Drosophila melanogaster: one gene and its partner. The protein of the gene in region 1 interacts with the protein of each later gene in a pairwise test. Each region holds a gene or a part of one and is shown in the gene's direction. Other genes may lie near its edges.

Region 1 (9,642 bases):
GAGCGCGCCAGCGAATCGGATTCCATCACAAATGAAGACTCCAGCGACAATCAGATCTCAATCAATCAGAACACCACAACGGCCCACGACGGAACCACGACAATCAAGAGCACACCGAAAGACGAAAAGGGTAAGGCAGCACAGCACATTGAGATTCAACTTTAGCGCTTTTCTCCAGAAAAGTATATATGTTTAATTACACCTTTTTATTTACAGATTCACCCTCGCATCGCAATGAGGGCAGCGTAGTGAGCGGAATGGTGTCTGGATCTACGAACAGTGGAGGGAACAAGGATCTCCTCGGCACACCCACTTCGAATACAAAGAGCAAACTATCCACGAACTCCAGTGCGACAGCGAAGAAAAGCGGTCACATAAACAAGAAGATTCGACATCGATGATAACTGCTACCGTGTAATCCGCATCTGATAAAGCACTATTTACCTTCAAAGTTTTTAAATTAAAATTTGTACATGAAATAAAGCGAATGTAGATTTACAAACTTAGTTTATTTCCATACAAATGTCTTCTTTCTACATTTATCACTTCAATATTTAAAGGCAACTACTTTCAGCATCGCGTCATACTTTTGACTCATAGTTTTGATAGACATACAGGGTTTTTCCTCGGCTCAAAGTTAAGTTTGCAATAGTTTGATTAGGAAATGATGAGTAAAATATATTGTGGCACACTATAGTCGATTTTCTATAGTCGATGCACGTCATATAAAGAAAAATATTCATACATTTTGTGATTAAATGAATTCTATATAGAATGTAGAATGAAGTGAAATATATTCATACATTTTGTGAGAAAAAAAGTTATACTTTACTATTAAATTGATTAATTCGAAGAGAAGAAAATACTATGTCATGTTAAAATGCCTTTTTGTTTGAGAAATGGATTCAATCGTACTTTGAGTTGCAGATCTACTAAAGGCTCTCTGTTTGGGAAATATTCTGAAAAGAGACATTTTAGGGAACTGGTTACCCGAACTATGAACTATAAGACTTACTGTTTCTTGAATAGTACAAGAGTTTTGCGCCGCAGAATGAATAGCACAAATATAATGACGCCTTGGGACCAGTTGAAGTAGTCAGCTACCAGAAAGATATTGACCCACAGTTTCTCGCGTTGCACCAAGTAGGAGAATATCTCAAAGCTCCACGACATCCCCATCACAGTGAAGAGCAGCAGAAATTGTGTGTAACTGTAACGAATTGATAATATTTATCTTAAACTGACATTTTCAACTATTATAATTGATATACTTCTGTTTGTCCGAATTCAGCTTCTGTATTCTACCTTCATTGCGAGCAATCTTTCGAAGAGTCCTCTTGGAATCTATTATGTGTTTAGCCGTCAGAACAAACATAGTTATGTTGAAGAGAATCAGGAGCACCATCGGTCCATAGAAGTACACCATTGCAGACCAGCTTTTAGCTGAGGGTGGAAAGAAAAACATTGGTGAGCTGGTACCACAAGCCGGATACAAAACAGAACCCACTATAGATCCAGCAATGCCCTTCGTCGCCCACGCGAGGCTGCCACTCCTCGTTGTTCACAACGTTATCAGCCAGATAGGTGACTCCGGTCAAGGCCAAAGGCATTGCCCAGGCGAAGCAGCTGTATAGCAGAAACGCACGTTCTGACCGAATGTTCATCGAGGCACAGGGATTGGTAAGACATTTCCAATAGTGCCGACTGATGATAGATAGCCAAAAGAACGCAGCCATGACGAAAAAGTATCCCAAGAAACCTGTCGTAAATGGTCAATGGTTTGTCAAGTTGTGTTGAAATGCATCCCCTCTAAGCTAACCTGCTGCTTTACAGAAATCGAGCGATAACTCCCACAGATCAAGGAGTAGGAACAGGTATCCGAAAAATAGGCACATCATGTAACAGATGAAACACTTGCCCTCCAAATTCATTAGCTTCTTAACGCACAGGTACACGGCGATGGTAAGAACCAAGCATATCAACGATGTGATCATCACTATGGAAATAGGAAAGATATAGAACTGGGAGCTACCATGCAAGCAATGGGCATCATCTTACCAACGGTCTGTCCCGTTCTGGATGGCAGTATCAAGCAGTTGTGGGGTATAATGCGAATGGAGTTGTTGTTACCTTCGCCGAATGTTCGGTGCTGCAGACAGTACTCCGACTTGTCCAAATACACTTGATCGTAGTGGCGCAGCAATCTTCCATTCTGCAGAGAGCCAAAGCATAAATAAATCCTGCCCAAAAATGCTTATTTTTCGAGCAGCCATACCTCGAACAAGGTGTACTCATCCATTATATCCCGGTTGTCTAGGTAAAACATATCATCGCAGGGCTTTGGCAGATCCCACTGCACCATGAGCTCCTTCTTATAGTGCCTTTGCACCACTGATCCGTCGTCCAGGGTCACATTTAGCATGGGGTCCAGTAATTCGTTCTCCTCCGTCGTCATGTTGGCGTAGCATTCGCCCATATCCATTATGTGGTCATGTGGGCAGCAAAACCTGACGCAAGTCCTTAGCTTGCACACACATCCTCTCACGTGACTTGGCACCTGCTCCTTATCTCCATTCGCCAGAAGCTTGAATTCATACTTGGCCGTCAAATGGGCGGGAATAAGTAATCCCTCGTAGAGGTATGATCCATTCGAGAGCCTCTGGCCTTCCGAGATATCAACGGTATCATAGAAACTGCAGTCGGCAATCTCAGCACTCGAAGATTGCAGATTCAGCAAGAAATATATTAGGATCGATGCAGAAAGTAACATTTTTGAACTAGCAATCATATAGTTAGCTGGACATTCTTTAAATATTACTTAAATAAATAAGAATGTAGTGGTACTACAAAATAGCAGCGACTTCACTTTGCGGATGCTGTTTTACGATTGGCACAAACTAACTGGGAAAGCGTTATGAAAAGGGAATGTAAAAATTATTATTTTGATAAAAAAGGCTTATCGGACATTCCAATTCGTTGCTCATTTCTGAGCCATCTTTTTTTCCTACTGAGCGAGGGTTGATAAATTATGTATAAAACTTAAATTATGTATGTATTATTCAAGCAACTGCTTAGGTAAACTATTCTTTTTCTTTTATTCTTTTTTTTTTACATATTAACAATAGTATTACATAAGCTTATTTATATAAATAAATCATTTAAAAAACACAATTTTTAACTTTTCAAAAGTAATGCAGCTTATCAGTTTTCTGTAGCATAAAATAAAATATAAATGGAATTTTAAGTATTTGGTACTGACTGTAGGTTCCTTAAAAACTATTTGTGAGATACATTCGAATAGCCCGCCAAGGTGATTCCGCTATGCGATAGTTGGTATTTTTGTAACGTTTTTCCCATCGATACGTTCCCAGTCACGTTTTCGTTGGCATTAGAAGTGGAGAAACATCGATGTTGGCGAACATCCATGTTTTCGATGTCTTTGGCAAAAAACAAATAAATTGATCTTTAAAAAAAAAACTTACATTTCAGATATTTATCCATGTCTTCCAAGACACCAGCCTACACCACCGGCGAGTCACAATAAATATGCAATATGCTATTAATAATTGTATTAGAAAATATGGAAATTAATTTAGACTTACAATTTACACACTTTGCTGTTTCTATGCGCTGAAAACATCGACGATTCCTCGAAAAACATCGACGTTTTTGATTTTTCGAAAACATCGATGACATCGATGTTGGCATCGATGTTTCTCCACCTCTAAGATACAACCCTAAAATATTTCTGCTGTCGGCAAATCTGAGTGTTTGCCACAAAACTGTTTGAAAACGCAATCCCAGCGAGGGCAACCGAATCAGGCCGGCAGAGCGAGGTCACCAGGAAGACGCGCAAACGAGGTCACCACCTGCACAAGACACAATGGGCAGCAGCGCCACGCAAACCACGGTGCCGTTCCGTGCAATTTGTTTATGTCTGCTGATCGCCAGCTGCTACGTGTCGCTCTCCCAGGCAGATGAGCACAATCACAAGGTGAGTCCGGATGCCACATCCCTCGAGCACCGAATACATGATCCACTTTGCCACGCAGTACAATGACCGGGAGGAGGTGGTACTGTGGATGAACACGGTGGGCCCGTACCACAATCGGCAGGAGACGTACGCGTACTTCTCTCTCCCCTTTTGCAGTGGCCAGAAGTCCTCGATATCGCACTACCACGAGACGCTGAGCGAGGCGCTGCAAGGAGTCGAGCTAGAGTTCAGTGGCTACGAGATGGAGTTCAAGAGCGACGCCCCCAAATCGGTCATCTGCATGGTCACCTTGCAGGAGGAGAGCGCCAAGGCATTCACCTATGCCGTGAAGAACGAGTACTGGTACCAGATGTACATCGATGGACTGCCCATTTGGGGAAAAGTCGGTGAGCGCGACGAGCGCGATGGCAAGTACTATATCTTCACGCACAAGAAGTTCGACATCGGCTACAATGGCCAGCAAATCGTGGATATCACCCTGACCACCGAGGGCCGCGAGGAACTCAAGCCGGGATCCCACATCAACTTCTCCTACGAGGTCAACTGGAAGCCCAGCAAGGTGGAGTTCAAGAATCGATTCGACAAGTACCTGGATCCCAACTTCTTCCAGCACAGGGTGCGTATAGTTCAACTAGTTTTACTCCACAACTTTCAAATGAATCATATTCTATATAAATAGCAAGAGGAAAAGGTCAAAGTTTGATGACATCATCTTTTCTTTAATCTTTTCTAGATCCACTGGTTCAGCATCTTCAACAGCTTCATGATGGTCATCTTCCTGGTGGGTCTGGTGTCCATGATTCTGATGCGAACTCTGCGCAAGGATTATGCTCGGTACAGTAAGGACGAGGAAATCGACGACATGGAGCGAGATCTTGGTGATGAATACGGCTGGAAGCAGGTGCATGGCGATGTCTTCCGTTCTCCGCCCAACACACTGCTCTTCTCGGCGTTGGTGGGCGCTGGATACCAACTGATTTCGGTTGTATTCTGTGTGATCATGTTCGCCATAGTTGGTGAATTGTACACGGAACGCGGCTCCATGCTGTCCACGGCTATATTTGTGTATGCCGCCACCTCACCAATCAATGGATACTTTGGAGGATCGCTCTATGCCCGCCTGGGTGGACGCATGTGGATCCGACAGATGCTGGTGTCCGCTTTTACAGTTCCAGTGGCTGTGTGCGGCACGGCTTTCCTGATCAACTTCATTGCCATTGGATATCACGCGTCGAGAGCCATTCCCTTCGGTACCATGGTGGCGGTCACTTGCATCTGCCTGTTTGTCATCCTGCCCTTGACTCTGGTGGGTACTGTCGTGGGCCGCAATCTGGACGGCCAACCAGACTTTCCATGCCGCGTCAACGCGGTGCCACGACCCATTCCCGAAAAGAAGTGGTACATGGAGCCACTGATTATTGTGCTTCTTGGCGGTGTCTTGCCCTTTGGATCCATCTTCATTGAGATGTACTTCATCTTCACCTCCTTCTGGGCGTACAAGATCTACTACGTCTACGGCTTCATGTTGCTGGTTTTCAGCATCCTGACTGTGGTCACCGTGTGCGTCACCATCGTGTGCACCTACTTCCTGCTAAATGCCGAAGATTACCGATGGCAGTGGACGAGTTTCATGGCTGCGGGCTCCACGTCGATTTACGTGTACGCCTATTCCTTCTATTACTTCTTCTTTAAAACCAAGTAAGATGCCTTTTTCTAGCATATTATCCATATATTTATATTTCATTACTTTACAGAATGTTCGGTCTGTTCCAAACGGCCTTCTACTTTGGCTACATGGCACTCTTCAGCGGCGCCTTGGGCATTATCTGCGGCACCGTCGGCTATGTGGGCACGAATCTCTTCGTGCGCAAAATCTATTCCAATGTGAAAATAGACTAAGAGCCCTGCGACTGCAAACCCACCCCCAGATCTGTATATCATCCTAATCGATTAACAATTGTATTTATTGAGTAGAGTTTTAGTTCTGTTTCACAACTTTAGCTCCAGTTGGCTCTCCTCTTTTCGTCTCTTTGGGTTACCCACTTCTCATGTTGGTGTGAAAATGAATGCCAGTCCAATATATTCGCACCAAAGATAAAAGATTCAGTTTAACGATGTATACGCAAACTACATATATCACCTAAAAGGTTTACTTCGGAATTATAAGACTAGACGTTTCAAATGAGAAAATTTGGGAAAACATTGTGAATTAAAAGCTCTTTCTGTTGCATTTACGTTTTGCTAGTTTTAAGAGTCAATTAATCCTATACACTAATTTTTGGTTTTGTAATTTCTACTGTTCCATAAAATAACATTTCTCTACTTACTTAAATTACTAAGAAGCTTGCTTACACAAAATATTTGATATATTTCCGAAGATAACTTTTATGTCATATATGTGCGTATGTTACGTTGCATACGGTGTACATCGAGTATTTTATTTGAATTGTTTGCCTAGAAAACTTATCAATCTATGCAACTGCAACAAAATGTGACTTGAACTTGTTTGCGCCAATTAAGTTATGTACGATGCAAGAAATGTGCTGATTAGCAATAGTCGATAATCTAATAATAAATTCAATATATAAAACCAAAAAAAAAGTTTATGACAGTATAAGCCCCCTTCATCTTGGCCATTATCAGCGAACACACAGATCGTTTCACTTTTACTATTTTTGATTCACTCGGTAACATTGACCCTCAAATTGTTTTCCAATTACTGGGAGGCAAACAACTTCAACGGTCTTATCATCCCATTTATTAGGGGGCCAATTCTGGCACTTCCATTCGTTTTCTTTTCGTTTGGGAGCACAGGATGGATGGAGTACTTTGGGGTTATTCCATGACAACACCATTGATAAAGCCTTTCGGATTCTTGTCGTTAACTGATGATGTTCGATTTGTCTCAAGTAACTGAACTATGTTTATATTACGTATACGACCAATCACTGCAGTGTTTACACACAGTGTGTCTTATACCCTAAAATGTTTGGTGAGCTTTCCAGAATCAACTATATGAATAAATGACTTAAGTTGTTTCAAATACAAGCAACTTTCAAAAATATTATCAGTATAAGTACTGAATAATTTTCCTTCAGCACTAAGTACGTTTTAATTCAAAGTTTCGGAAGTTTGGTAAGATAACCTATGGACATACCTTTGAGATTAGCAGTTTCTAGTAAACAACTATTTTGAAGTGTATCGAATGGTTTCAACTGCTGCCACAAGCCACCCTTCATCCGGATTTACTTCTCTGCTTATCGGGACTTTCAAGAGGCCCAGTGTCATCATAGTTCCAGGGAACGGCGCTAGTTTGGAAGTGAACACCTACGGAGTGGGCACTCGTCCACTAATGACGCGTGTTTTCGGTGGGCTTTGTCTCGTCAATGGAATTCTGTGATAAGTCGGAAATGTTACAGAGCCTTTTCATTTCTAGCCGTGGTAGTGTGGTAACTGATTGGAAACATATTGATTTCGTAATTTATGCTAATTCTGGGCAGTGGAAACTGTAAAGGCGCTTGGGATAATCCCTGAAGAGTTTCCGTTTTGATGAAAAGGCAATTCAAAAATCTGGGTGTCACTTTGATGGGTATCGCCCACATTTGGTCACATAAACTCTACAATCTGATCACTGTTTATGACCTGATAGACAGTTGATGTATTTTTGAAGTTGTCCCGCTGATTGCGGCTGGCTGGCCAAGAATCAAACCGAGAACCCTGCTGACCCAGTTTAAAGGCTTGTCGTCGGGCCTAATGATGTTCGTGTATATTTTGTTGCATAAATTATCATAATTGTCACTGCGCCGACTGGGTGATGGCATTTTTCCTTTTGATCGCTTAGCATTTCCCTTTCGATGGTGGGTTAAGAACAGTTATAGAGATGCGGGAAATGTGTTTTCTGTTCGATCTAGAGATTATTTTGTATATTTTCTATGCATATTAAAACGTAGCTCTCGAGTTTTTCAGCTTATAAAAGCCGAATTCGAATTTTGGATCTCAGTCCGATCTGAAGAGAAATCCGAAGTACATCATGAGTTTTTTGGGACTCTTGGCTTTTCTGGTTGCTGGTAAGTTTATAAAACATTTATAAATTTTTCTACAATATTACAATACCATATATTCCATCAGGTCTTTGCTCCACCGCCCAGGCTTCGTTGGTGAAATGCTCTTGTGATCCTGGTCCACAGGGGGAACGAGGACCTCCAGGTCCGCCTGGACCTCCTGGCAATCAGAACGGTCTCTCTGGCAGTGGTTCTGGCTACTGGGGCTATCCACCCACAGGTCCTTACCCCCCAAATCTGCCTTTCATCCAGGGGCCTAGAGGCTTACCAGGACCGCCTGGTCCTCCTGGATATTGTTTCCCATGCCCAGCTCCTCCACCTTTGAGATCCTTTCCGCCACCGGGAGTTCCAGTCCCTCCTTTCATTTCCACCCCAGGTGGTGGCGGATTTGGTGGAGCCTCTGCATTGACCACCGCTGTGGGCAACATTATAGTGATTCCAGGAGGACCAGGAACGGGATTAGCTGGTCGCGCTCAGTTCTTCCACATTTCACCCGATGGCCAGGTGGTGCAGATCGATCGACCGCAGAATCTGCCCAGTGAACTGTTCGATACACCGGTGAACCAAGGTTCCGGTGCTCCCATTCCTCCACCGCAACCCACATCGTCATCTCTCTCGGGGATCACACCACCAGCAGTCCAAGTGCCACCAACTCAACCCACGCCCGGCGATCTGGGAGCCCAGCAGCCCACAATTTTGCCCGAGAATATGGAGGAAACTGTGTTTGCGGTTGGCAATCGCAAGGACTTCCTGCGAGGTAGCTCCGATGCCAGCGATTGGAGAAGGATTCTCCTCCTGGGAGAGCGACCCACCGATGGTCTACTCAAGGGCCAGTCCGTCCAGCAGCTCAGTCCCAACCAGCTCGAGAGCAGCGTGGAGAACTTCCAGAGGGCTTTGGTCGAACTGAAGGAGAAGTATGCCACGCTCATCCAACCGCGTAACTCAAACCAATATGCAGTCATCATTTGAAGGGAAAACTTAAGATTAAATTTAGTTTAATAATTTAATAAAAACTGTACTGATAATGTCTAAAAAGAATATAAATGACCATTTGATATGGAAGTAGAGGTATTAAGATGTCTCTTTTATGTCTTTCATCTATAGATCTTTTAGTTGTCTGACTTGTTATGTAGAGCTGGCACTTGTGTTATTCGTTCAAGCTTCGTCAACAAAGTACGATATCATTTCTTGGTATTTATAAGATAAATACGGATAAAAATAGAAATACCTATTCGAGGGTAATCCCCCAAAGAATTATGAATTACAATTGTCAACAGTCAATCTGCGTTAAATACGTGAGATTCACAAGAAAAATTCAATCGTCATAACATTGCGATGCCTATTAAATTTTTTTATAAGCATAATAGGCGTGAGTACTTAACGCTTTTTAAGTCTATCAAAACATTTTGAAAATCAATAACGATAATAGGAATTAAAGGTATCAATCCAATCGATTTGATTGGAATCAAGTTTAATTTGCTACAAATGATTTTAATTTAGTTGCAGTCATAACACAGTTAATCAATTTTTGATAGACTTAAATTAAATTTAACTTGTCATTGGTATTGTAAAAATAAAATTCCTTCG
Region 2 (5,171 bases), on another chromosome or scaffold:
TTCCTCGATGGACGAGTGCTCACAGTCCAGCGGGCGAATGAAAGTCCTCAGAGTTAATCAATGAAGAATTTAATGATTTATTGGTTAGACCAAAGGAAAAGCATGAGAAATGTTTGTTAACAGCTTAGTTTTACACAAATGAATGCAGCACTTGCTTCAAATCGTGGCATCTTTGATTCATTTGGGCAAGTAGAACTTGCTGTTGGTGCCCACCACGTCCGCAACATTAGTGTGACCCAGCCGTGTGATCAGCGCCGACAGCTCCGCCTTAATGTCTTCCACAAGAGCGGGTCCCTCGTACACTAAAGCCGTGTAGATTTGGACGTAGGAAGCTCCAGCTTCGATCTTTTCGTATGCATCATAGCCGGAAGCCACTCCGCCGACGCCTATGATGGGAATCTTTCCATCGGTGAGCTGGTACATCTGGGCGATCATCTCTGTGGAGCGGGCCTTGAGTGGAGGACCACTTAATCCGCCAGTTTCCTCGGCCAGCTTGTTCTTTTCGATGTTTTCCCGCGACACCGTGGTGTTTGAAACGATCAGGCCATCCACGCGGCTCTTCTTGCGCTTGATTACCCACACGATGTCCTTCATGTCGTCCAAAGATAGATCCGGCGAAAGTTTCAAGAGTATAGGCACATTCTTGTTCTTATCCAGGGAGGATTTCGTGTCGTTGACCTGTTCCAGGAGCTCTCTTAGCTTCTCCTTGCTCTGCATATCGCGCAGGCCCTTGGTGTTCGGACTGCTCACATTAATGACCAGGTAGTCTGCTACGGGCCCGAAAACCCGAACACCCTGTACATAATCCGCTATCGGGCTCATGGTGGTCTTGTTCCGGCCCAGATTCACGCCCACAACTCCATTGAAGTTCTCCTTTTTGCGGAGCAAGCGCAGCCGTTGGAGCACGGCCTGATGCCCGTCGCTATTAAATCCGTACCGATTAATGATGGCCTTGTCCTCGGTCAACCGGAATACTCTCGGCTTGGGATTGCCCTCCTGAGCCGCCGGGGTAACTGTGCCCACCTCTATAAATCCGAATCCTAGATCCTGCAGGCCGTCCACCGCCTCCGCGTTCTTATCGAATCCCGCTGCAATGCCAATGGGATTGCTAAGCATCCGGCCAAAGAACGACGTGTGCAAGTTCTGGTCATCATGGTACTGTGAAACCGGGCACAGGCGGTACTTGCACGCCAGCACGGCCAGTTGATGGCTGGCTTCCGCCGGAAGAAGTCGCACCGCTGGCATCACGAAGGTCCGGAACAACTGGTCCTGGTTCTTGTATGCCGTAATGCCCGCCACCAAGGCAGCTCCTCCGACTGTAACGATTCCCAGCGACCGCAAACGACCCTGTGGGCGGAATCATTCTGTAATCCGGTCCCGTTTAAGCCGTACTTTACTCACAACTCTCCGCGTGGCGTTTTTAGCATTCTTTAAGTGATCCTGATCCATGACGACTATCGCCGGATATCGATTGTACCCGATAGAGTATTAAAAGTATAATATGTAAAAAAGTAAATGCATGTACTAGAGTTTTAACGAAAATTCAATTTGGGAGTAAGTCTGGCCATTTTGAAGGAAAACTCATGCGATATATAGTTACTACGGCAAGCATCAATAATTTTCTTTTTTTTCTGTGTAGCAAATGAACCCCTTCTATTCACAACCATGCCGAAGAGAATCGATAGTCCTCCAGTGTCACCTCTAATGGTTGAGTCAGTTTGTTATGGCCAGCTAAAAATTAGAAATTTCGTTCTCTAAACGCTGATTTGGCCACCCGAGGCAACCATGAAGGGCGGCACCTTTCGCAACACGCAGTGGGATCCCACGCTGCTGTCCTCACAGATTGTGTCCATGCAGTTCTGCGTGTACTTCACCCTTGGCCTACTCGTCTTCGTGGCCAACAAGTTGTCCGGGGACAACTATAGTCTGGATCACTTGTTCGAATACCATGTATGCCATATGCTATATACCATATATCATGGAAACCCCTCTCCTTACTTTGATTTAATGTTGCTTAAAGGAGATCCACATCTACGACATGGGTGGCCGCCTGGTGATCTGCGCATTTGTTTTAAATGCGTTCTTAGCCTCCCTGGCACTGTGGTGCATTGTGAGAAGAGCCAAGCTCTGTCTGGACTTTAGGTGGGCTTATAGCTAGTGCACACACTTAATCTTTTGCTTTTACAACTCATGCTTCCCTTTCATGGCAGTTGCACCTTCCACGTGCTGCATTTGCTGATCTGCTGGTGGTACAACCGCTCCTTTCCCGCGAACGCATCGTGGTGGCTACTGAATGTCATCACCGGCACAATAATGTGCATAGGCGGCGAGTTTCTCTGCCTGCAGACCGAGATGAAGGAGATCCCAGTGGGCTATGCGGCCCTCAATCAAAAGTCGGACGTCTGACTCGAAGCCACCAACTTGTGATGCCTGCTACCCCCCCAACCAAGCCACCCAAAGCAGCTTCTGTGTACATGTAATTTATTGTTAAACTAGCGTAAGATTACATAGCATATAAACACTATATTGTACTTCTACTTTCAATGTAATATCTGGTAAACGAAGGGCGGTCTCTGCCGAAGCTTAAGTTCCTCAGGTACTGCTGACGGCGGCAGGGAGTACTTTATTCCAGATCCACTGTAGTTCGATATCATTGACCATAGTGACTCCTCGCGCGGCACAAACATCCAGTAGCTGAAGGCCAGCATAAAAGTACCGATCAGCGATGCCAGTAGAAGCAACATCCAGCACGGACCATGATGTGGCTTCTGCATCCTCGTCGTGTTTATATGTTGACAGTCTGAAATTGACACAGCTGAGATCCGCGAATACAACTGGGAGTGCACTGAAAATTTCCGCCGGACTGCCGAAAATAATAATAAAACGGGGTGTGGCCTAGTCAAGCGCCCACGCTGTTTATTATTTCAAAATCCAGCGATCAAGAAGCGTAGAGCTTTGCTGTTCAAGCAAATTTATCTGGCAAACAAACAACGACAAATCGACAAGCTCCCCTCTTTAGAAAACATCAGAGCAAACTAATCAACTTGCCCTATCTAATCTAATTAGCAAACGGGTAGGCATCGCCACGATCGTCACATCCTCGGCACTATTTGATGCATTTCCTACTTACATTCTCGCTCCCCACGTTTCGAACATTCAATTATACTGATTGCTTAAATGTGCATAATTGAAGCTTTGCCGCTGGGAAACCGGCGACAAAGCTCTCATCTGAGAAGCTCCTAAAGGTTACTAACCTATCCTATGGATATTCCACTCCTTAATTATTTTGATAATATGGCCAGCAGCTCGTCGCGGTTGAAAATCCAATGATCTCTTACATCGAAACGTATTGGTTCGAAAAGCGTACTGAACTAAAACCAAAGAACAGGCAACTTGCCAATTCTTATCAATGGAGCTAACTCAAAAAGTGATATCAGTAAGTAAATAAATCTTAATTGAACATATTTATGAAAAGATAATAGGGCGCCAAGGAATTAGTAAACGTTGGTGCTTTACAGCGTTATCGGACACGATCTGCCAATCCCAAAAAAATCACCTGTTACACCAAATGCAGAAAAAATTAAAAACAACCATGCGAGTTCTTTTTCTCATTTGCTAAATTATTAAGCTTTAGTTTAGCAAACTTGTTTTTTTTTTGTTTTAATTACTTGTTTGTGTTGGTTTCTTGTTTCATATAGTACATTCTATCTCGATCTATATATTTAATAATATATATACCATTACTATTTTTATGTTTTCTTCGTTTAAAATCATCAATTGAAGTTCAAGGATTTGCGCTTTCATCGTTTCGATCCGACATTGACAATATTTATGTCTAGATATATATATATATATATATAAGAATACATATATATATATATATATATATGTATATTAAGAGTTCCAAGAAAAATGATGTGTGAGAATTGTAACTTATGGACAAAAATTCAAAAATTTTATCATTTGCTTAAATATTCTTAATATTTGTGGTTGTTTAGCATATTTTAAATATGTATGTGTTTGCTTGCATATCCTTCAACTACGCGCATCGAATTCATAAAATATAATGATGGGTGAGATGGAAATGGAGGGCGGCTTGGGCTGGCTATACATGAATGTAATATACTTTCGCGATGGACTTGCACAGTTTATTATTAACGCTTGCTCCTGGTTTTTGAGGTTGTGAGAGAGGAGTGAATTGCTAAACGAGGGTGGGGTGGAGGGTGCATCTGTGTATCTTTTCTGTATTTTCGTGATTTGTGTTGCGCTGCGCACAGACAGTTTCTCTTTCACATTTGCTGTTCCTATATAGTATACGTGTGTACACATATATAGTTGTTATCGACTTTGTTTTACTCCGTTTGGTTATTTGCGAAAGTGGCTACGATGCGACTGCTGATGCTGCTGCTGCTGCTGGCCCAGGTCCTTTGCCTGAAGCTGAGGCCTTGCTCATTGAGCCCACCAGTCGGGTGCGTTCGAAGAGTGCGAGGCACTGCCGCCGCCGTAGGAGCCGCCATAGGAGCCACCACCGGCGCCGCCGCCATAGTATCCACCGCCGCCCGAATTGCCGCCTGTAAAGGAAATCCACTGTTAAGTTTCTGCCTTTAAACTGATTACTGCTGATGGATGATTCCACACTCACCAAACTTACCGTACGAGTTTCCATTGCTGCGGTAACTGCCGCCGCCGCCTCCTGATCCGGAACCACCGCTACGTGGTGGCGGTCCACTGCGTCCGCCACCGCCGCCGCCAGAGCTTTGACGGTAATCCCTGGAGCCGAAGCCGCCACCATAACGTCCACCACCGCCTCGTCCAGCCCGCTTGGCTCCGCCATGTCCGCGATCCGAACTCATATCCTCCATGAAACTGGGGATCTCCTGCTTCGTTTCGATCAGCAGCTCCAAGAGATCGGAGCAAATGTTGCGGTTCTTTTCGTTGAAAAAGGAGGTGGCCACACCAAGATTACCCATACGTCCGGTACGCCCGATACGGTGGACATACTCCTCCACATCCGAGGGCAGGTCAAAGTTAATAACGTGCTTAACGTGCGGAATGTCCAGGCCACGAGCGGCCACGGCTGTGGCCACCAGGATGGGGCAGTCGCCCGATCGGAAGCAGCGCAGTGCCTCCTCGCGCTCCTTCTGCGTGCGATCACCGTGGATGCTAGTGAC

The links.
Region 2: the proteins of TM9SF3 (region 1) and Sys1 interact in a two-hybrid assay, tested with the Drosophila melanogaster proteins (one large-scale study listed by BioGRID).

The regions. Positions count from the first base shown.
Region 1 is NT_037436.4:5,598,040-5,607,681, reverse strand, and holds TM9SF3 (transmembrane 9 superfamily protein member 3), read left to right. Parts: upstream 1-3,702; 5' UTR 3,703-3,883; coding exon 3,884-3,994; intron 3,995-4,052; coding exon 4,053-4,610; intron 4,611-4,727; coding exon 4,728-5,692; intron 5,693-5,748; coding exon 5,749-5,893; 3' UTR 5,894-6,586; downstream 6,587-9,642. Other genes in the region: Eaf6 (Esa1-associated factor 6), read left to right, coding at 1-130, 217-401; mthl2 (methuselah-like 2), read right to left, coding at 866-959, 1,016-1,210, 1,272-1,443, 1,508-1,759, 1,820-1,996, 2,059-2,212, 2,276-2,788; CG10591 (uncharacterized protein), read left to right, coding at 8,025-8,061, 8,123-9,024.
Region 2 is NT_033777.3:8,651,336-8,656,506, forward strand, and holds Sys1 (Sys1 golgi trafficking protein), read left to right. Parts: upstream 1-1,675; 5' UTR 1,676-1,785; coding exon 1,786-1,950; intron 1,951-2,020; coding exon 2,021-2,142; intron 2,143-2,210; coding exon 2,211-2,406; 3' UTR 2,407-2,512; downstream 2,513-5,171. Other genes in the region: SLIRP2 (SRA stem-loop interacting RNA binding protein 2), read left to right, coding at 1-57; Dhod (dihydroorotate dehydrogenase), read right to left, coding at 178-1,347, 1,402-1,449; CG42489 (uncharacterized protein), read right to left, coding at 2,541-2,774; bel (belle), read right to left, coding at 4,450-4,571, 4,643-5,171.